Canis lupus familiaris: one gene and its partners. The protein of the gene in region 1 interacts with the protein of each later gene in a pairwise test. Links are inferred from orthologs where the notes say so. Each region holds a gene or a part of one and is shown on either strand. Other genes may lie near its edges. The genes, in order: CFAP206, TFIP11, SOX30 and C15H1orf94.

Region 1 (5,185 bases):
CAGCATAATCGTATCTTGTTTAGCTTGGAGTTAATATTTAATGTTTTAATAGTGACGCTGTGGGTTCTCTAGCAGAAAATCAAAATATCTAACTAAAACAAAGCCACCTTGGATAATATGCTGTGTATGCATAGTTTGAGTTTAAGGTATATCCTTATCCTAGAGGCTCCTGGCTGGCTTAGTTGCTACTGAATGCAACTCTCTTCTCAGGGTCATAAATTCAAACTCCACATTGGGTACAGAGATTATAAATAAATGAACTTTAAAAAATCCCATCATCAGCTGAAGGGTATTATGCTGAGTGAAATAAGTCAATCGGAGAAGGACAATCATCATATGGTTTCACTTATACGTGGAATATAAGAAATAGTGAAAGGGATTATAAGGGAAAGGAGGGGAACTGAGTGAGAAAAATTAGGGAGACAAACCATGAGAGACTGCTAACTCTGAGAAACAAAGGGTTGCGGAAGGGGAGGTAGGTGGGGGGATGGGGTAACTGGGTGATGGGCACTGAGGAGAGCACTTGATGGGATGAGCACTGGGTATTACACTATATGTTGGCAAATTGAATTTATTTTTTTTTTTTTTTTTTTTTTTTTTTTTTTTTTAAAATTTTTATTTATTTATGATAGTCACAGAGAGAGAGAGAGAGGCGCAGAGACACAGGCAGAGGGAGAAGCAGGCTCCATGCACCGGGAGCCTGACGTGGGATTCGATCCCGGTCTCCAGGATCGTGCCCTGGGCCAAAGGCAGGCGCCAAACCGCTGCGCCACCCAGGGATCCCGCAAATTGAATTTAAATTAAAAAATAAACAACAAAAAATAAAAGTCCCATCATCAACTATCATTAAAATATGTATATATCCTAAAGATGTTTTGATACTTTAAACAAATGTGATTCATATTTAATTTTTTTATTTTTAAATTTATTTTTTCATGAGAGACACAGAGAGAGGCAGAGACATAGGCAGAGGGAGAAGCAGGCTCCATCCCGGGTCCCCAGGATCATGCCCTGGGCTGAAGGTGGCGCTAAACCGCTGAGCCACCTGGGCTGCCCCCTCATATTTAATATTTAATGGCTATTTTAAACTTCTGTCAGTTTTCAACCAAGTATTCACTTATGCCACCAATTGTGAGAAGGGCATTTGACTTAGGAATGAGTGATGTTAGGTTTTCCTCTTCCAAAATATACCTCAAAGTTAGGTGCAAAGAGAGTCATAATGCCCAGGAAAGTTATCACATTTAGCTCACTACTATCAGCTTGTTTTCTCTGCTGTCTTTATGAGTATATTCCATGTTCAAAAATTCTTGTTTTTCTAATCTTTTTGTTTAGATAAATATTTTTTGTTCTCCCTAAATAATGTTTATTTTTTTAATAAGTACTAATTACAAAACTTTATTTCTTTAGATGAAGGATGTTGACAAACATTATATAAAACCAATTACAAAGTGTGAAAGTAGCACTCAGACGGATACACACATATTGCCACCAACCATTGTGAGATCGTATGAGTGGAATGAATGGGAATTAAGAAGAAAAGCTATAAAATTGGTTTGTAACAATATTTTCTAAAATTATTTATAGGTTGGAGGATTGTTTTTTCTTTAGCTAAGACAGCAGAAGAGATGACTTATTGTATATATGTTACATTCAGCCACAAATGAAAACAGTGTTAGTCCTCAAGCCACAGGTCCAGGGCATAGGACCAAAGGGGACTGTTTTGGTATGAGCAAGGTGGGTTTCTCCAAGATATTGTTGTGATCAGATGGCAATGAATATTCAAGATCCATTGAATCAAGTTCTAGAAAGTCAGCATGCAGTCCAACAATTTGTACCAGTGTCCCTGGCCTCTGGCTTTCCTTGTGTCTGCTCCTGTGGCTTCCATGGGTGTACAAGTTACCTGTTTGCTTGGGCCTCTGCCTCATCTTTCTCACTTCAGTCTGCATATTTGCTTCTTCCTCCACTTGGCTCACTTGGTTCGGGAGTTTCCGAGAAGATGACACTAAGGCTGAGAGCTATAGGTTGGGGAACTTTAATGTATTGTTACTCATAGAGTTAGTGATTTAAACTATTTATTAAAGCCAATAAGTTGTACATGGAGTTCTTCACAAATAATTTGCCAGCTTTACGTCGCAAGATTGTCTTCTAATTTTTTTTATTGTCTTCTAATTTTAAGCATATACAGAAACATGAAACTATTCTCCAATTATACAGTCCAGTAACTAGAACAATGGTAGCTGCTCACTCTTTTTTTGTTTTGTTTTGTTTTGTTTTTAAGATTTTATTTATTTTTTCATGGGAGGCACACAGAGAGAGAGAGAGAGAGACAGAGACAGAGAGGCAGAGAGGCAGAGACACAGGCAGAGGGAAAAGCAGGCTCCATGCAGGGAGCCCCGTGTGGGACTTGATCCCAGGGCCCCAGGATCAGGCCCTGGGCTGAAGACAGCACTAAACTGTTGAGCCACCCAGGGATCCCCCACTCTCTCTTTCTATACCCATCTATTGTGCAAATCTATGAGGTTCTAGCATTTAAAGCACTCTCAATGTCCTCTTTTGGATTTTTTTTTTTTTTTTTTTTTTTTTTTTTTTTTTGAGGAGCAGAAGGTTATCTCTGTTATATCACAGCTACTGTCCCCTCCTGTTGTTAACATGTTCTCTACAGGCATTGATCTCTCTCATCCTTCTGATTCTCAGTCACTAATCATAAGAGGTGCATGCCCTCAAATGATGGTTTTGAAACTCTCATCCCTGTCTGATTCGGGAATTCCTCCCACTCATTCTTTCTATAGTACCTCGTCATTTTAAACAAGTATTTAGAGTCTGAAGGAAATAAACCCTTTTATATCTGTAGCCTTTTCTTAGTATATTTTATCTCTCTCTTTAAAATGGGGTATGGAAATAAACAAAGACTACCCAAATGAGAACAGAGGCGATTTATTCAAAGTTTGCTATAGCAAGGGAGTCAGCCACCATTACTTGCAGTTGGCGGGAGCTCCAAAGTGGGCAGGGGAAGTGGGGAAGCTTTATAGTGAAAAAAAAGGGGAAAGCTTCAGGCATTCTCTGATTGGATGTTGTTGACATGGGAAAACTGGACGTGGGCTAACTCTAAGTGGGAACTTTTATATGATTGGTTTGGTGGGCATAGTTGGCTTTCTCTGGTTGTTCCTTAATTGAATGGTGGAGGCAGCAAAAAATAGGGAAGCTAGTCAAATCCTGCCTCTTCTGTGCTGATAGCTATGGCTACAGAGGTTGTGGGTCAGAGTTCTATTGTCATATAAGGTCTAGCCTTTGTCCATTTGTATATTCTGTGTCTTATAGGCTTTTCACCATCCTTGACATTTTTCTTGCTGTCCTTTCTGGTGGCAGCTTTTCAGTCCCTTGATTTCCTGAGATGAGGAAGGATCAGTTTCTTGGTATACCTTCCAGATCCTTGTTCCTATGAACTACGGAAGAGTAACTGATAGGAATGCTAATATTCCTATCAGTTACTCTTCCGTAGTTCATGAAGCTTCATCCTGATGTTCTTTACTGTCATCTACTAAACTCACTTGAGCCCACTGGATATATACTAGGTAACATAGATATCACTGCTTTGTTCTTCAGAAGCTAATTGTCTCGCAAGTGACATTGATACACTAAAAATATTTCAGTACCTCTTGGTAAGTTATGTAACAGAAGTGAAATAAGAATTAACTTCAGTGACATTTTAAATTGGTCTGAGGTATAAAAAGGCAAAAGAGAAGAGGGGAGTGATGGTTGGATAGGATAGGAGAGGTAGAGGTGCCAGCATAGGTCTGGGCTGGAAATGTTAAGAGAACGGGGTATTTGGTGGGGCTGCACTGTGTACTGACTGAACCCTCTCTTCCCATTCCTCAGCCTCCACTTCATTCTGATTCCCACTGTAGACCTAATTATGCTCTAGAATTATGTTATGTTGAATGCCAGTTCCCCATATATTAGCAATATAACCTACTGATAAGACAAAACTGAGTGTAGTGCTTAAAGCTGTAGGGGGAACCACCACCCTAGCAGAGCCTTGATAGTGTCCTGAGGGGAAACAGCAAGGTCAGAATTTATTGAGAATCCACATGTGGTGGAAGGCAGGTCTTTCAATGCCAAGAGTAGGTCAGGGGATGGGATGAAGGCTTGTACTGGATTGGGTAAAGATCATGAAAAACCCAGCCCAGCAGTAATGGGAATAGAAGGTGAAGATTTATGGGGCAGGGGTGGAAAGAATGTGAGGGCTTAATCTGTGCATTGATGCTTACTACTGAAGGTATGTCTTTCAGGATGTTCTGTAGTGACCCTTTGGCAAGGGTCTCCTGGAGTGGTAAAATCACGCTAATGAAGACAATGGAATAGCCAAGTCATAGTCACTTGACAATAAACTCAGTGTGGGGGAAATTGTTTCAGTTCTTAGTCACCCACAATATCTCAAAATCTGGAATGTGAGGTCTCTGCTTTTGAACTCACAGGCTCTAATGCTTCTGAGCTTTTTTTCTAGGACTTCCTTATTACTTCAGTACATCCTAGTCTCCCTTTCATTTTTTTTTTCTAGTCTCCCTTTCATAAACTTCTTTTTGTTTCCCAGCCTGAGTCCTCTGTTTAACTTCATGTTTACTAGTAATCCATAAAAAGAGCAAGCAGGATGTTGAATACTGTAAAATGTAACCTGAAGACATCGGAACTTTTTATATTAAAAGTCTTGGGTGAAGTCCATTTAAAAAAGACAAAGAAAATCTTAAATTTTTGTCTTTTAAAACAATAAACCAAGTATGGTGGGAAAATCCAAGTTGTATGAATCTCAAAGTATAATAATGAAGGAGTTAGAAGATTGTGTTAACAAATAATTGTGAACTCACTGTGAAGTTTGAATCTGTATGTTCTTTCCTTGGGTCTGTTTTCAACATTTTATGTATTTTCCCACCTCTTGACAAAGGATATTTATTATGTTCTAGTTTTTCTAATGTTTTAATGTTTTGTAGAAAAATACTGTGTTGTAGGGCTAATTTCTCTGTGGATTGAGAAAAAACATGAGGCTGATATTATTTGTTCTTTAGAGATGGGCTAATTCCTGTGTATTCTCTTTCTTTTTAGGCCAATTTGCGTCAGAAAGTTACTCACTCAGTACAAACCGATCTCAGTCACATGAGAAGAGAGAATTATTCACAGGTGTACCCACCCA
Region 2 (5,817 bases), on another chromosome or scaffold:
GAGGGGAACTCCAGGGATCCATTTTACAAGAGTAACCTATTCACTTAGACCAAAAGCGCCTCAGATCTGACTTCCTGTGATCACGGTAACATTGTTACCTGTCAGTGCAAGGTTGATTAAAACAGCAATATATGATCTTACACACTGTATTGATTTTGTCTCAACAAAAGTGAAAGGACACCATGCAAACTATGATGTGATAACGCAACTCTTTTACATGTTTTAAAATTAACTTTAAAATCATTTGTTTTGGACCCCGTGTTTCAAGTACAGAAATCAAGCAAGAAAGAACTTCGGATAGATAAACATCATCAAACACAATAAAAGAAACTGTATGAATGCAAAGTATATTAACAATTTTATTGGTCAAACTCTTAGAAAAGTTTCACCTTCATTACCTTTATTTGCGTATGAAAACTAAAGTAAAATACCTAAGAAATTAACTCTGAGATAGAGAGTATCAATGTTGACAACTGTCACAAGAACAGTCCTTACAATGTCCTATTTCCTGGTTACCTTTATAAAATGACCAACTTGTCACTAACCATCCCCATGGCAGTAGCATTTTTTCCTAAACAATGCAATGTAACTTAGGCCGTAGAGACCCAGACTCAGGAGTCAGGCCCAGTTTCTTACAGCCTGGTTATGTGCTTTTGGCCTCAGTTTTTTAATCTGAAAAAAGGAATGATAATGATGCTACTTTTCTCACAAGGTGAAGGATACCAAGCACGTAGAGTGCAGAACAAGGTACTATCTTATGGTTATAGAGAATGTTAATTCCTGACCTCTGATCTATTTATCACCCACTTTTAGGTTTCCTTGCCAGATGAGGACTTGATCTGACCTCCATACTTTCTCCCCAGCCTCCTTTGTGAAAAACGCACAGTGTCAATGGGCTAGAGCCTACAAACCACAGACGAAACACAGAGACAAAGCCAAACTCGCTACACGCTCTGGTCAAGTGAGCTGTGGCCACTGCACACATGACCTCTCACACTGGGGAGGACGACTACTGGCCTGAATCCTCCTCTCCTGCCTCATGGAGTTTCCTCTTCCCCTGCAGCTCCCTGTCAACTCTGCACACTGACAGGTCTTCTCCAAAGGTAAGTGCAGCCCACATCATCCGCTCTACCACAGACCTCTTCTCAAACTATGCCCCCTCTCCCTCCCTCACCGCAGCCTGCAAAGCTTTCTGTACCCCTGTGGACACCCACCGCCTCCCCTCAGGAGCCTCTGCATACCCGTGCCTCTCCTACCACCCTCATTACCTTCTGCTGTAATAGAAACTCAAAAGTCACTTCTCTAGAGAAATCTTCCCTCACCTCCCAGAATAGGCCAAACTCTCTCTCTCTCAGGTCCTAAATCAGTTATAAACTTCCATCGTATGAGCTGTCAATTAATGTGTCTCCATGCTCTAGCGTCTGGGCTCCCAGAAGGAAAGGAATGGGGCTGCAGTATACGACATGGTACATATAACTGCTCGTTAAACATGAAGTGATGGTTAAATCAGCAAAAGAGCAGCACTCCGGCCAAAGAGGAAGCTGGGCCTCCCTAGCTTATATCGTAGCTACAGGACTTGGTAAGGCCAGGAGAAAGGTATATTTAGTGGGCTATCTTCCCACCACCCCCCATCTTCCCTAAAGCGAGGAGGAAGCAGTCTCATGCTGGCCAGTACCGTTTGCCTCCAAAGCTGGGCCTCTCTTCATCTGAATCTCTCTCTGCCCACACTCCATAGGTGGCCTCTTCCTTGGTCTGCCAGTGGCGCTGCCGGTTGGGGTTAAATTCATTCTGGAGATCCCAGTCGGTGATCTCAAAGTTCTCCCGCTCATCGTCATCATCATCCATGTGGCCTTCCCCATCCCGGTACAAGTGGGACAGTGACATGACAGGTCACTAAAGAAAGGAATAAAAAAGGCACGTGGTTTGTGGTAAGTCCTGAGGGGAGAGCAGCAGTAGGCTTCCGTCCCTGCTCCTCACTCCCTTCAAACTTCCTCACACTCAAAGTCCCAATGATTAAAAATCATTGTTAACAGTTCAATAAGGCAGACATTAAAAACATATTTCAGAAAACAAACACTATTTAAACAGGTGGGACAAAAGACTGGTCCCAACAATATGCGATTCCCTGTCCTGGTCAAGGTCATAAAACTTTACACACACTCACACCTAAATAACCCACAAAAAAATAACTCGGTATGTTATTCTACTTATTACTGCCTCAGAAACGGGGTGGGCATCTTCCTGGAACCCCCCCCCCTTTTTTTTTAATACCATGATGACACTTTGTTTTCTTTCATACTGAACTGGCATGATATAGTTTAGAATAGAGAGCTGGTCTGCAGTATCTTCCAGAACCGCAGAGATCCTCAGCACATCTAGAATGGAGAGTGGCTCTACGATGTCTGGGAGGACTTCTTTTTCCGGTTCTTCAGCTGTTTCTTTTTCTTCTTCTACAGCACTGGGTGGCTCGCCTGTCACGGACACTGTCACCTCAGAATGCCAGATGTTTGCTGGAAGATTTGAGGCTTCTAACTGGCCTTCTCCCATTCTTCTTAAATTAGTTGTAACTTCAATGGTACTTTTACAATCTCACAAAAAAATGTAGTTACTCTGGAGTCAAAACGAAGGATCAACAACAACTAAATATGAGGAAAGAGTTACTATATCTGGACCCTTGGCGGTTCACCACCGGGAGTGATGGTTTTTAGAACACGCTTCCTGAAGTATATTACTTGGTGAGACCCTAAGACTTAAAAGTTTTCCTCCCAAAACATGAACTTCTTCTGAAGGCATAAACCCTACCTTAACAGAGATTTCAGCTCCTGGTAGCTGAGTGATGAGATTCAGCTGACTCTACCCCCACCCTCTGGGAATGCCTGTGAGCCAGATTAAACGAGGTGGTGCCTAAAAGACGCTTAGCTCAGGGGTGCTTGGGTGGGCCAGCTGGATAAGCATCTGCCTTAAGCTCAGGTCAAGACCTCGGGGTCCTTGCTCGGCGGGGACTCTGCTTCTTCCGCTCCAGCTCGGCCCCTCCCCACCCCGCTTCACGTTCTCTCTCAAATAAGTATTTCTTAAAAAATTTAAAATACTAAGCTCAGAGTAAAAACGCTCCGGGAGCAAGGGCTGTTACGGTAGCCCCAGATCAGGTTCCTCACCGCCACTATCAGTAGGTTGGGGAGGGGACCTCGGGGAGGACTGCTGAAACCCCAGCTCCGGCGGGTCGGCGGCGGCGTCGCGGCGTCACCACAGCCGCGGGCGGCAAGCAGCCTTCGCGGGGGCCGGCGCGTCCGGGCGCTAGTCCCCAGGCTCCCCGGCTCACTGCACCCCCGCCACGCTGGCGGGGCGCACAGAAGGGAAGCGCCCCCGAGCACTCGGGGCTCCGCAGCGCCTCGGCCTCCCCGGGCCCCCGAAGAGCCCGCGCGGGGCGGACGAGCCAGGGGCAGCACCGGGCCTCGGTTCCGCGCCGACGGCGCTCGAAAGCAGGCTTGGAGCAGGCTGCGCGGAGGGGCTGCGTCCCCCGCACTCACGCCCGCCGGCGGGGACGCCCCACCGCTGCCCGCACCCCCGCCCCGCTCACCTCCGCAGGTCCCGGGTCCAAGCGCAGCTACCGGCCGGAGGCCAGGAGCCCGGATGTGCCCGCGGCGGCGCGCCGGAAATGACGTACAAGGGGGCGGGGGCGGGCGCGGGGCGCTCTTCGTCACGGCCGCGACGGGCGAGCGCGTCCCGGGCTCCAACGGGGCGGGGCCGAGTGCGAGGGAGGAGGCGGGGCTTCCAGGGCCTCGGATGGCGGCGGGCGCGCTGCCGGACCTCCCCGACCTCCCCGACCTCCTCCCCGACCTCCCCGACCTCCGTGCCGCGCCCGGCCCGCGGGGACCCCGCCGCCAGTCTGAGACTCGACTGCGTAAAAGGGGCTAGAGGACTGGCGCACGGGGCAGCGGTGAGGGCCAGCGGGCGGCCGCGGGGCGCGGGGCGGGGGGCGCGGGGCGCGGGGCCAGGCTGCCGGCGGGAGCAAGGTCTCGGGTGCCGTCGGGGCCCCTGGCCGAGCACCGCGGTGGGCGCGGAGCTTGAGAGCGCAGGGACGGGCGGACCAGGGCCCCACGCGCTCCCTCCGGGAACCGCCCCCCAGCCCGTGGTCGAGACCTTCATTCCTTCACCGATTGATAGGACCGTGCGGAGCCCCGCGGGCCGAGGCTCAAGGGCTTCGGGCCGCCCGGGGAGTGGCGGCTGCCTCTGCACCCCGCAAGCACCCGGGCCCGGGGCCCCCCTAGTCCCTGCGCCTCTGGAAGCCTCGCTTTCCTCTTCTGCAAAATGGTTGAGGATCCGGGGAGATGAAATGTGCAAGCACAGGGCTGCCTAGGCGTGTCAGCCCCTAGTCTTCGCTCACGTTCTTTCTCTCTCCTTCCTATGATGAAAAGGTGCAAGCGGCAGTTGTTAAGAATACACGGAGCGCACCCGGCTCTTAGTCAAAGATCTGGATCCAACTTCCCGCCGTTGTGAATGAAACCAGAACCCACAGGAAGGCAAGCGACTGCCAGCTTCTCGAAACACGCGCTGTGACTCCCGTGGTCTCTGCGTCCCCACTGACGTGTGTCACCGAGGCCGACACACAGTGTGTAGTCAGGAAAGATGTTAGAAAGTGAGGTTTCATAGAAGAGAGGGCAGGAGGGGAAGAGAGTCTAACAGAGGAGAAGCTCCACCAGGGAGCAGAGGGAGGAAAAACAAGGAGACCAGATAGACCGTGTTGAGTCTGGGCCTGGAAATGTATAGGCATCTGGTGATAGGCCAGAGCCAAAGATAGAAGCTCGCTTGGCTTCTCTGTAGCTCTCTCTCCAGCTCTACAGCTGACTTCATGGAGCAGCAGTTACTCAGATCACGAGGGGCTGATGCTAGTGGATCTGCTTCACCAGATGGACCCTCCACGTGGCTTCTGGAGAAGGGGCCTCTGGGGACGGTGGGGTCACTAGGGGTCACTAGGAGTACAGGCTCTGAGCGCAGGATCAGGCTGTGCATCCCCAACAACGGGGCAAGTGGACCTCATGTACTGTGCGATAGGATGTCCTGAGAAGGTCGTAGCACCACCCCCGTGATATTCCTGTCAAAGATGCATACCTGGGACAGAATCACTAGGATACTGGAGACAAGCCCAAATAAAGACATGTTCTGCCAAACAGCTGGCCTGTGATCTTCAAGAGTGCCCAAGGCATGTAAGTCAAAGACAGACCCTGGAAGTGCTCCAGACTGAAGAAGGCGAAGGAGACATGACCGGTAAACGCAACACCTGATTCTGAATTGGACCTTTTTGCTGTAAACGAAGTTATGGGGATAACTGGCAAAATTTAAATGCGGTCTGAAGTTCCATGGTAGTGATGTGTCCGTGTTCATTTTCTGATTCTGATGGCCGTCCTGTGGTTACGCTGGAAAATGTCTTTGCTGGAAATATTAAAGTATTTAGGGGAGTGATAGGGCATCAAGTAGGCAACTTAGTCTCAAGTTATTAAGGGGGGAAAAAAGGTTCTCTTTGTACCTAGATATTTTTGTTTTAAGATTTATTTATTTATTTGAATGAGTGAGCATGAATGCAGGGGGAAGGGGAGAGGGCAAAGGGAGAAGAAGCAGACTCTCCCCCGAGCATAAAGCCTGACACATGGCTCAATCCCAGGACCCTGAGATCATGACCTGAGCCTACATTAGATGCTTAACTGACTGAGCCACCCTGGAGCCCCCTAGAATTTTTTTTTTTTTTTTTTTAATGAAGTTACTAAAGTAAGACCTCAGAGATCCGAATCACTTTGCTCCTTCCTTGATGTGGGATGGGGG
Region 3 (5,185 bases), on another chromosome or scaffold:
CTCTTTGAATTTATCTTTATTCATTGAACTTCTTGGTTTCATATCTTCCTTCAAATTTGGATCATTTTTGGCCACTATTTCTTTAAATATTCTTTCTGCCTTTTCCTTTCTCTCCTCTTATCCTGGAAATCCCATGGTGATTATATTCATATACCGGATGGTGGGACACCACCACCTAAGGTTCTATTCACTTTTCTTCACTGTTTTTTCCTTCTGCCTCTCAGAGTAGATGATTTCAATTGACCTATCTTCAGATTCACTAATTCCTCTGCCTGCTCAAATCTGCTGCTGAATCTCCATAGTGATTTTTTATTTCAGTTACTATAGTTTTAAGTAACAGGATTTCTATTTGGTTACCTTTTATAATCTCTATATCTTTATTGATGTTCTTCTCTATTTGGTGATACTCTGTTCTGGTTTAATTTAGTCTCTGTCAGTTTTCTTTAGCTCCCTTTAGCTCAAGACAGTTGTTTTAAAGTCTTTGTCTAGTAAATCCAATATCTGAGCTTCCTCAGGGGTAGTTTCTTTAGTTTTTTTCTTGGAAATACCATGCCTTGTTTCTTTGCATGCCTAGTAGTTTTTTTGTTGAAAACTGGACATTTTGAATATTATCATGTAGTATTTATAACAATCAGATTTCTGTCCTTCCCCAGGGTATGATGTTGTTGCTTCTTTTGAGTTGTACTTGTGTTTTTCATTGGTGACTTTTCTAAGCTATTTTTGTAAAGACTTCATTCTTTGCCTTTTGTGATTATTTAAGTCTCTGTTCCATTAACCTAGTGACTTGGCAGAGCTTTCCTTAAATATTTTGTTTTGTAGAGCCAAACAAAACAAGTCAGAGCAAAAAACACCTTCCCTTCAGTCTTTGCAGACTGGTCCAAATTGGGGCACTCCTTCAGCACTTAGCCAGGCCATTTACAATTTTTTCTCAGACCTCTTTTCCTACTTACACAGACTCTAAAATCAGTCAGAGGTGAAAGCTTACCATCTTATCAGGTGTTTGTTTAATATGTGTCTAGCCCTGGACATGTATGTGCCATTCTGGATATCCCAGTGTACATGGGAACTTTTCAAAGCCCTTATTTCCCCATGTACCTTCTTTCCCAGTCTCTTCTTGGCCTTTCAGTCGGCCTGATACTTGCCCCATCTGTTGTCCCTTACCCCAGAAAGCCGTGAGTAGTATATGTCTTTGAAAATTTTCCACAAACACCACTTGAAAGACCACTCAAACCTGAGAATGTTTTGAGGTGAGTGAAACAAAGGTAAGCCCTTGAACCAATTCTTCAGGAAGCAACCAAATAGGTAAAAATTTACAATCATAATGCTTTGAGAAAAAAAGGTGTGCATTGCCTCCTCTAACAGCAAAAAAGTCAGACCAGAACATGGGCCACCATCCCCTTGACCATCACTAAGCTACAAAATGGGGGATGGTTGTGGCAAACTGGAATAAGGACTTGAAAGAAGTGATCCTACTATGAATTGAAGTAACATAATATCTACCTGAAAAGTTCTTTGAGCTATTGGTATGCCTAAGTGGGAAATAATTTTACTGTACTAAATATGTAACAGTAGAAGATTGGTAATAGACATATAACACTCCAATTTCGATAGAAACTGTCTCTTTTTATACATTTAACATCAATTGAAAAAGAGAAGTTATACTCTATTAGAATGTTTGCAAGGAAGCTAAATTCTATCACTCCAAAATAAAAAGTTACAAATTTGTTTTCCCTAGGTGCTTCCTTATAAAAATTAATTATTTTACCGATAATTTATATGATAATTTTTTTTTGGTTAAAAAGACCACTGTGTAACTTTGAACAAGTCATTTAACCTCTCAGACCAAGCACTCTACTGTATCCTTTCTATTCAAAGTGTGGTCTACAAACCAACAGAACTGGCATCACTTGGGAGCCTGTTAGAAAAGTAGAATATCAGGCCTACTATACTCTGGTATAGGACACTACTCTACCCCAGACCTACTGATTCAGAATCTGCATTTTAACAGGATCACATGTGATTGATATACATATAAAAGCCTGAGAAGCACGACTCTATACAGTAAGATAAAGAGGGGTGACTAATCTTAAGGACTCTTAATACTGACTTTTCTGAAAAATTGATCTGATAACATTGGAGACTGTATTACTTATGGCAACAATCAGCTACAGCTGAGTCGCAGCTACCCTATTAGATAGGGCATGAACTCTCATTGGCTGTCCTAGTCTTCACCTAGCCTTCTTCATGTATTTATGTTAACTGCTTGGCCTCTATTCAGCCTCTAATCTAAACCAGATTCCAATCAGAATTGAGGAAGTACCTTTTAAGTAAAAAAGGGGTGCCTTCGAGGTAAACATTCATTAGCTGTTTGTATCTTTAGGTGAAAGAAAAAAATGTTCATTTACCTTGATGGGAAATAGTGCGGTCCAGGTAGGAAGTAAGGGTGATGAAAAGAGAATCGCGGCGGTGTCCCAAACAACGTGGCTGGATGGCCAAGGGGAGGAGCCTGGTATACGTGTGAGTGTGGAATAGGAGGAGCCTGGGGGATTGGTGCACTTCTGGGACAAGTGGAAACGCTGGGATACTCCTTAGGAGGTTGGATGGTTGAGGTTGCAAATCTGGCATGGGCAGTACTTGCACTAGTTGGAATCCTGTTGGTGTTCTCCAGAGAGACAGGCGTGGGTCTCTTCACAGAGCAACTGGCTCCAGAATGCAGCCGATGAGTGTCTGTTTGGGAGGGCCCAGCAAAGTGCTGGGGTGGGAGTGCTGGGCGGAGGGGCAGATTTGGAGCCTGGACTGCCACCTGGGCAGTACTGGAGACGCTGGGCTGGAAAAGTGAGATGGGGCTTGGGCGCTGGACTGCAGGTGTGGGCAGCTGGATGGCAGGTGGGGCATCACCTTTAGAAATAAAAATAGCATAGGTCTGGCATTAATTGATTTGATCCATGTTTTTCTTTTTTCAGAATTTAATAAACTGTACAACCAGAAGCCTTCACTAACCACCTTACTTAATAACTTTACTACATCAAACCACTCTATTTCCTTTATAGTATTTGAACAAATCAGTCACTTTGTTCACCTATTTTACATTTTTTCCTCTCTCTTTACCATCTAGTTCTAAGTGACAAGAGAGGAAAGACCTGTTCTGTTTTACTCCCTGCTGTATCCCTAGGGCTCAAAATTCTGTATGGCACAGAACAGGCCCTCAACAAATATTTTTGAATGGATAAACAAATGAATAAAATTGAGTGATTGAGGGCACCCCAGATGGCTCAGCGGTTTAGTGCTGCCTTCAGCCCAGGGCGTGGTCCTGGAGACCCGGGATCGAGTCCCGCATCGGGCTCCCTGCATGGAGCCTGCTTCTCCCCCTGCCTGTGTCTCTGCCTCTCTCTGTGTGTCTCTCTCATGAATAAATAAATAAAATTAAAAAAAATAAATTGAGTGAGTAAAAGATAAATACATACAAATGCTAATGTGTATATATGAATGTTTCTTTAAAAAATTGTATGAAACTACTGACAGTGAAGGAACACTCATCTGAGAGAAGGGACAGGGCAATGGGGCAAAAAGAAAAGCTACACTTTCATTATGTATCTATCGGTACTGTTTGAATTTTCTACTGTCTAAATATATTAACTTTACTTTAAATATTGATGTTTCAGGGTGGTATATGGGTCATTTTTCTACTATTTCATATACTTCTCTATTTTAAACTAAATTATAAATGACATTTAATTTTTTGATTGAAAAAATAATCAGTAAAATTATTTTTGCTTTATTGCAGTCACTGTCAGTGTGATTACAGAACAGGATTTGCCACAGGTTAACAATTTGTGACAGATATGAAAGGAGTATTATTGCAGCAAGGCATAACCAATATGGCAGAATTTTTAAAAGTAGGTGAAACAATCACGTTCTTGAACAAGAGATGACTACTAATTGAGTTACTGAGTTATCCAAATAACACAGTTAGCCTAAAGTTAACTAAACTTTTCCAAAGAAATAGAGAGAGAAGCCATAGCAATACAGTCATGATCTGGTTTATTCCAATGCAGCTAGATCTCTGTTAATATAGAAGATGCAGTTCAATAACAGATTCTATGATTAGAAATGTCTCTTGAGAGGCTGAGGAATGTGCATTTTCTCTTAGCCTCGCCCAGCAAAGGCCTTTCCTTCCTTCTTTCTCTCCAGATAAGGAATGTAATATTCCTCTTAAACCTGCAGGTAGGGAATTAAGGGATATATCTCTCTGTTTCAGAGATGGTCCCTGATCCAGTGAAGTACAGACAATACAGGGATAGGGTTTAAATGAAGCTACCCTGATTCTTAGTTTATAGAGTTATGTGCCCTCCCATCTGTGAAGTACAGCCTTAGGACTTTCCTGATCAATGAAACATAAAGTAATTTCCCTCTTCCATGTTCCCTTAGAACACATAAATCTATAACTTATCACGAAATCGTATAAATCTTTGTTATTTGCTTGTCTGCCATCCCTACCACAATCACAAAACTGAAAACTTAAGAGCAGGAACACTTTCATTCATGTCTGCGTCCCAGTATTTGGTGTAGAATTTGGCTAATAATAGTTAAGAAAGCTATGACTAGATGGGAAAAAAAACCATAACAAATAATCTATAACTGATATAGCACTTCTACCACTGATCTGGTGTGAGGAGAACTCCCTTCTCTAAACAACTAGGAAGCCAGGCTGACTTATAATTGAATTATCACTGCACTCAAGACATCTTCTCCTAAAATCTACCTCTCACACAGGTTTCTTAGTCCTCAAGAAAGAAGTATGATCTTCCTAGGCAAAGGAAAGAAGCTACACAGACCAAATGATATTATTTCAGTTACTGAAGAAGGAAGAGATTCATCTTGTAGCTGACATGAAATGTTCTTTTTAACCAAAGATATTTCTATAAAAAAGCAGTACGAGGGATGAGATGATAAATCATGCATTCCTTTAATTCAATATTCACCAAGTAACTAACATATGTCAGGCACTGTTTTGGTCTGAGATTAAAAATAAAATATATACATAGAGAGTTATATAGAAGTATAATGAAGATATCCTAAATGTTGAATTCTGGTTGCTAAGCAGGCAGTTAAAGTCTGCAACATCTAGTCATCTTCATAAATTGTCAGTGAATAGAGAAGTCTTGTGGGAAGGGCAGAACTCTAA
Region 4 (4,650 bases), on another chromosome or scaffold:
GGGAGAGGGGGGCCCGACGGCCCCATGCAAGTGCCCGCGTCTGTCTGAGAAAGCGCTGGAGGCCCTTGGTTCCAAACAGAGACAAACCACCCTGGAGAGGCGGCTCTGTCGCCGGTTCCCGCAGGGTCCTTCCGGCCGAATCTATCTACACACACTTTACACGAATGTAGCTTTCCGGGCATGTGGCTCTGTCACTGCCGTTGCCGGCGAAGCGCATCCTGGAGACGATTCCAGAGCCGTGCATGCTGCATCACGGGGTTCACCCGCTGTGTGCGGTTGGGGACACGTCCCCCAGGATGCCCGCGGGAGCCCCCGGGCATCCCCCTGCGCGGTCCTCGGACCATCCCACCTCCCAGGAGACCCGGGGGGGCCTCCCTGCCCGTCCGCCAAGGCACCCGTCCCCGGGGGGGGCCCGTCCTGGCCTCTCTCTGTGAGCTCTTGGCTCTTTGTCATGGTCCGCGCGTCATCTTGGGCGTTTGGGGGCCCACGTCCAGCATCCGCGAGTCCTACCTGCAGCCTGGGGTAGGAGGGGGCTCAGCGGGAGCAATCGCACGGGCCCCGGGCCCGCGTGGGCCTTAGGGGTCCGACTGCAAGTCACGCCCGTGGAGCCCATGGAGCCCGTGGAGCGCTTACCTGCAAGGTCCGAGCTCCTGAGCCGCCTCCTCCGTCTCTGGCTCGTGCTCCCGCCGCCCAAGCTCCGGGGCTGGAAGGAGAGAAGCCGCACGGGCCTGGCACGGCCTGAGCCCTCCAGAAGCCCCAGCCTTTGCGATCTTTTTTTTTTTTTTTTTTTTTTTTAAATTAGAGAAGGATCCGCAGGGTGAGAGAGGGCTGTCACTGTGCTGGGTCCCCGGGCGGCTTGGACACCGGACTCTTGCTTTTAAAGACGACGTCCAGAAGTTTCCCTCGCTTTGACTGCAGCTCCCTTCAGCGTGCGGGAGGACGGATGTCACCCCGTACAGGAGAGGGTCTTCTGACGTTTGTAGAATACAGTGCCTGCAAAGTAACGAGCTCCCCATCATTGCAGGGATTCAAGCGGACCCTGAGTGGCCTCTTCTTTGCCCTCTCCCCTCCTTTTTTCTCGTGCTCCTTCATTTAACGCATGTTTATGGAGCAGCTTATTTGGCCCAGCCCCGTCCCAGGGCCGAGAAGACGACGCTCGATGAGACCGCCGGGGCCCCGGCTCTTGGTGGAGGTCGGATCCGGGGGGCGGGGGGCGGGGGCTGAGCTCTATGGAGCCTGGATCCCGCTGTACGACGCTGCCGCTGGCCCCAGGCGGCCACCTCAACCCACACCGGTTACCGTGAGCGTGCACCTTCAGCTCCTCGCCCTTTGCGGCAGCCGCAGCTCAAGTGGCCGCAAGTCTCCGCTGGTGGGTGGTGGCCCAAGTACCGGGGGGCTGGGTCGAAGCCGGGGCTGTAGAAATCTCAACAGACCTTTTTTTTTTTTTTTTTTTTTTTAGGTAAAAATGAATGAGGGCTCTCAGGGGCAGCTATTGGCAGGGGATGGGGTGGGGAGGGCAGCGCAGAGAACGGAAATAAAGTCCATTTGCTGTTCATCAGGCTGCTGTCGGCCAACTCGGTGTCCGTGCCGCGGAGGGAGCGTTCGCCCTCCTGCCAACGGGGAAACTGAGGCCCGGGTGACCTGGGCACCTTGGCAGCCAGGCGCAGGGGGGAGGCTCGGGCTTCGCCACAGTCCTCGCAGGGCCTCCCGCACGCCCGCCGCTCCGGGGTTAAGGCTGGGGGGTCCGAGCGAGGCCCCGGAGGTTCGGAAGCAGCGGGCTCTGGTGGACGCGGCCCCTCTCGTCTGTGACCTGCAGGTGACGCCGTACAGCCCACAGCAGGTGGGACAGCAGGTGTTCCGCTCTTCCTACGCCCCCCTGCTGAGCTACATCCCCTTCGTCCAGCCCGGCTACCCGCACCCTCAGAGGACACCTCCAAAGCTGTGCAGCCATCCCCGCGACCCTTCCCCGATGGCGGGAGACGGGCCACAGTACGTGGTCCCCCAGGCGTACGGGTGAGTCCTCAGCCCCCTCCTCGGGTGCACCTCGCTCGCGGGAAGCTACAGGGCCGGGAGGGGAGCTGGTTCTCGCGTTGCAGGGTCCTGGGGAGGGAGGGGCCCTGGCCTGTCCCCAGCCATGGGTGCCGGAGGGAGCTGGTGCGCAGGCCAGGCTGCTCAGGGCCACGGGCCCAGGGGATCCTAGCCACGCGGCCGTGGACGTGGGCACTCGGCCTGCAGCGGGGCCGGCAGTGGAGCAGGACCCATCTGCTGAGGCCCCGAGGCCCGTTTGCTGGGCTCCCTGCGTCGCGGGGGACCCTGAGCTCCCTCGCAGGCCAGTCGCCCCCACATCCTGCGGAGGGTGTAGCAGGCCCAGCAGCGGGGGCAGGGCTTCGCGGGTGATGCAAACCTCGACACACACTTTCCACGACGGCTGTTGTCCTAAATGAAAGGCCGGCGGTCGCCCACTCGCACCTGCAAACCTTCAGCTCATATTTGAGGCCGGGAGGAGGGCGGGACCTGGGGTCCCCCTGGGGACCCCAGTCCCCACACACCCTGGGGAGGCGTGTCTAATCTTGGGAAACTCCGCTGCCGGGATTAGGGCCGTTGGTCCCCAGCCTTCCACGTCCCCGCACAGACCCCCGCTGTGGTGCCCCCCAGGCACCCCCAGACCCTCACCCTCTCAGTCCTGCGTCTTGTAAAAGGACGATACGTTAGCGAGAGGTTTCTGTGGTCAGGATGCTTGGGAAGAGCTGAGGGAAACACAGGTGAATGGGTTTCTTACCCATCGGGGCCCTCAGATGGCTTCATTGCTGAAGTGTCTGGGAAATGTTCCTGGGGTGGGGTCGGTGGCCTCACCTGAGCCCCAAATCCACAGCCCATTTTCTTTCTCCTTTTCTCTTTTTCCTCCCTCCTTCCTCCCTCCCCATCTTTTCTGCTTCTCCTACCGCAGACGAGGGTGCATGTCATCTGCACCCCCTGCCCCCCAAGCTCTGTGTCGGGTCCTGTGGTTGATGGGGATGTAGCCTGCAGGGAACCCACAGCGGACTAGGACGAGGTTCCTCCCTTCAGAGACTGAGTGGCTGAGATGTGGGGAGCACCCCGGGGCCCGGGGCGGTGGCATGACCCGCTGTTTGGGGGGGGGGGTGGACCTGCGAGGCCCCAGGGAGCAGCCGTGGGAGGAGGGGAGGGGGGTGCAGCCCTCACAGGGGGGTGCAGCCCTCACACGGATGGACACAAGCATGAGGCTGGGGCAGCAGAGGTGTGTGCTTGAAGTATTTGATTTACCCCTAAAAAGGTGGAAAATAGGATTAGAAAGGGAGGTTGGGTTTGGGTGTTAAACGCTCTGACTGGGAGGCCCGGGGCCTGCAGCCTGGTGCACCCTGGGTGGCGCAGCGGTTTAGCGCCTGCCTTTGGCCCAGGGCGCGATCCTGGAAACCTGGGATCGAATCTCACGTCGGGCTCCCGGTGCATGGAGCCTGCTTCTCCCTCTGCCTATGTCTCTGCCTCTCTCTCTCTCTCTCCCCCATCCTCTCTCTCTGTGTGACTATCATAAATAAATAAAAATTTAATAAATAAAAATTTAAAAAAAAAAAAAAAAAAGCACCACCGCGGGGAAGGAGGGGAGGAGGGCCCCCACCCGGGCCCTGGCTGCGGGCAGAGATGCTGGGCGCTGGAGGATGGTGCCATGGGGGAGGCATAGTCGGCAGGGTGGGCGGTGGCCGAAGGGGCTGGGGACGCCAGGGAAGGGGCGCGGCGCAGGCCGCATGCTCCCCCAAGAGCATGACTGGTCGTGGGCAGCGCTTCCTGGAGGGAAGGAAGGAGCGAGGCAAAAGGCCTTCTTGGTCTCCTTCACGGGGAGCAATAAGGCAGCAGGAAAGGAAGGCAGGGGCCGGGGGAGGACGGAGAATGAGGGAGGGCCACCTCCGGAGCTGGGTCTGAATGAAGCGACAGGTACATAGGGGAGCTGTGCGTCGGGGTAGTGGCCCCGAGGTGGGAGGTGGGCCTGCAGCCGGAGCCCTGGGGGGGGGAGGAGGGGGAGTGGCCGCGGGAGCAGGGGCAGCAGGGCCTGGGGGGCACGGCCAGGCGTCGGGTCAGGCCCTGGGGAGCTGGTGAAACTTCCCCGGGTGGGGGTGAGGTGGCCTGCACCGAGTCTGCACCAGGAGCGGGGCTCAGGCAGGGGTGCAGGCCTACCCCGCTGGGCTGCTGTAGGGGGGCGGGGCATGGGGGGCAGAGGAGGAGGCATTTCCTGGAGGATGTGGGGGGAGCAGGGCTGGGGGAACCACTCGAGGCCATTGGGGGGACGGGGGATGAGGGCGTCGGGGATGGCGTGGCTGGGGGACGGGCAGGGGCAGGGGAGAGGCCGGTGGGAGGAGCAGGGCTCCGGGGATGAGGCGGCCCCCCTACCCCTCCTGGCCTCTCTCTGTGAGCTCTTGGCTCTTTGTCATGGTCCAACACCCCCTACCCCCGCTTCCATACCCCCTTTGCCCCCCTATTCCCTCCTCCCCCACTCCCTCCAGCTCCTCCTCTCCCACCCCTCCCCCTCCTCCTCTGCTCCCCCCCCCCCCCCCCCCCCCCCCCCGCTCCTCCTGTCCTCTTCCCTCCCTTGCCTCTCCCCCGCCCCCTCACCCCCTCCCTTCCCACTCACCTTCCCCC

The links.
Region 2: the proteins of CFAP206 (region 1) and TFIP11 interact in binary tests that used the Homo sapiens proteins (3 or more experiments, as listed by UniProt). The two-hybrid records come from large-scale screens. The link is inferred for Canis lupus familiaris from reciprocal best matches to the Homo sapiens genes CFAP206 and TFIP11.
Region 3: the proteins of CFAP206 (region 1) and SOX30 interact in binary tests that used the Homo sapiens proteins (3 or more experiments, as listed by UniProt). The two-hybrid records come from large-scale screens. The link is inferred for Canis lupus familiaris from reciprocal best matches to the Homo sapiens genes CFAP206 and SOX30.
Region 4: the proteins of CFAP206 (region 1) and C15H1orf94 interact in binary tests that used the Homo sapiens proteins (3 or more experiments, as listed by UniProt). The two-hybrid records come from large-scale screens. The link is inferred for Canis lupus familiaris from reciprocal best matches to the Homo sapiens genes CFAP206 and C1orf94.

What each region holds. Positions count from the first base shown.
Region 1 is NC_049233.1:47,170,684-47,175,868, forward strand, and holds part of CFAP206 (cilia- and flagella-associated protein 206), read left to right. Parts: intron 1-1,407; coding exon 1,408-1,551; intron 1,552-5,097; coding exon 5,098-5,185. UniProt on the Homo sapiens protein: Essential for sperm motility and is involved in the regulation of the beating frequency of motile cilia on the epithelial cells of the respiratory tract. Required for the establishment of radial spokes in sperm flagella.
Region 2 is NC_049247.1:20,594,647-20,600,463, forward strand, and holds the start of TFIP11 (tuftelin-interacting protein 11), read right to left. Parts: upstream 3,631-5,817; 5' UTR 3,578-3,630; intron 1,894-3,577; 5' UTR 1,885-1,893; coding exon 1,676-1,884; intron 1-1,675. UniProt on the Homo sapiens protein: Involved in pre-mRNA splicing, specifically in spliceosome disassembly during late-stage splicing events. Intron turnover seems to proceed through reactions in two lariat-intron associated complexes termed Intron Large (IL) and Intron Small (IS).
Region 3 is NC_049225.1:53,482,098-53,487,282, reverse strand, and holds part of SOX30 (transcription factor SOX-30), read right to left. Parts: intron 2,899-5,185; coding exon 2,406-2,898; intron 1-2,405. UniProt on the Homo sapiens protein: Acts both as a transcriptional activator and a repressor. Binds to the DNA sequence 5'-ACAAT-3' and shows a preference for guanine residues surrounding this core motif. Binds to its own promoter and activates its own transcription.
Region 4 is NC_049236.1:7,728,145-7,732,794, reverse strand, and holds part of C15H1orf94 (uncharacterized protein C1orf94 homolog), read left to right. Parts: intron 1-1,816; coding exon 1,817-2,013; intron 2,014-4,650.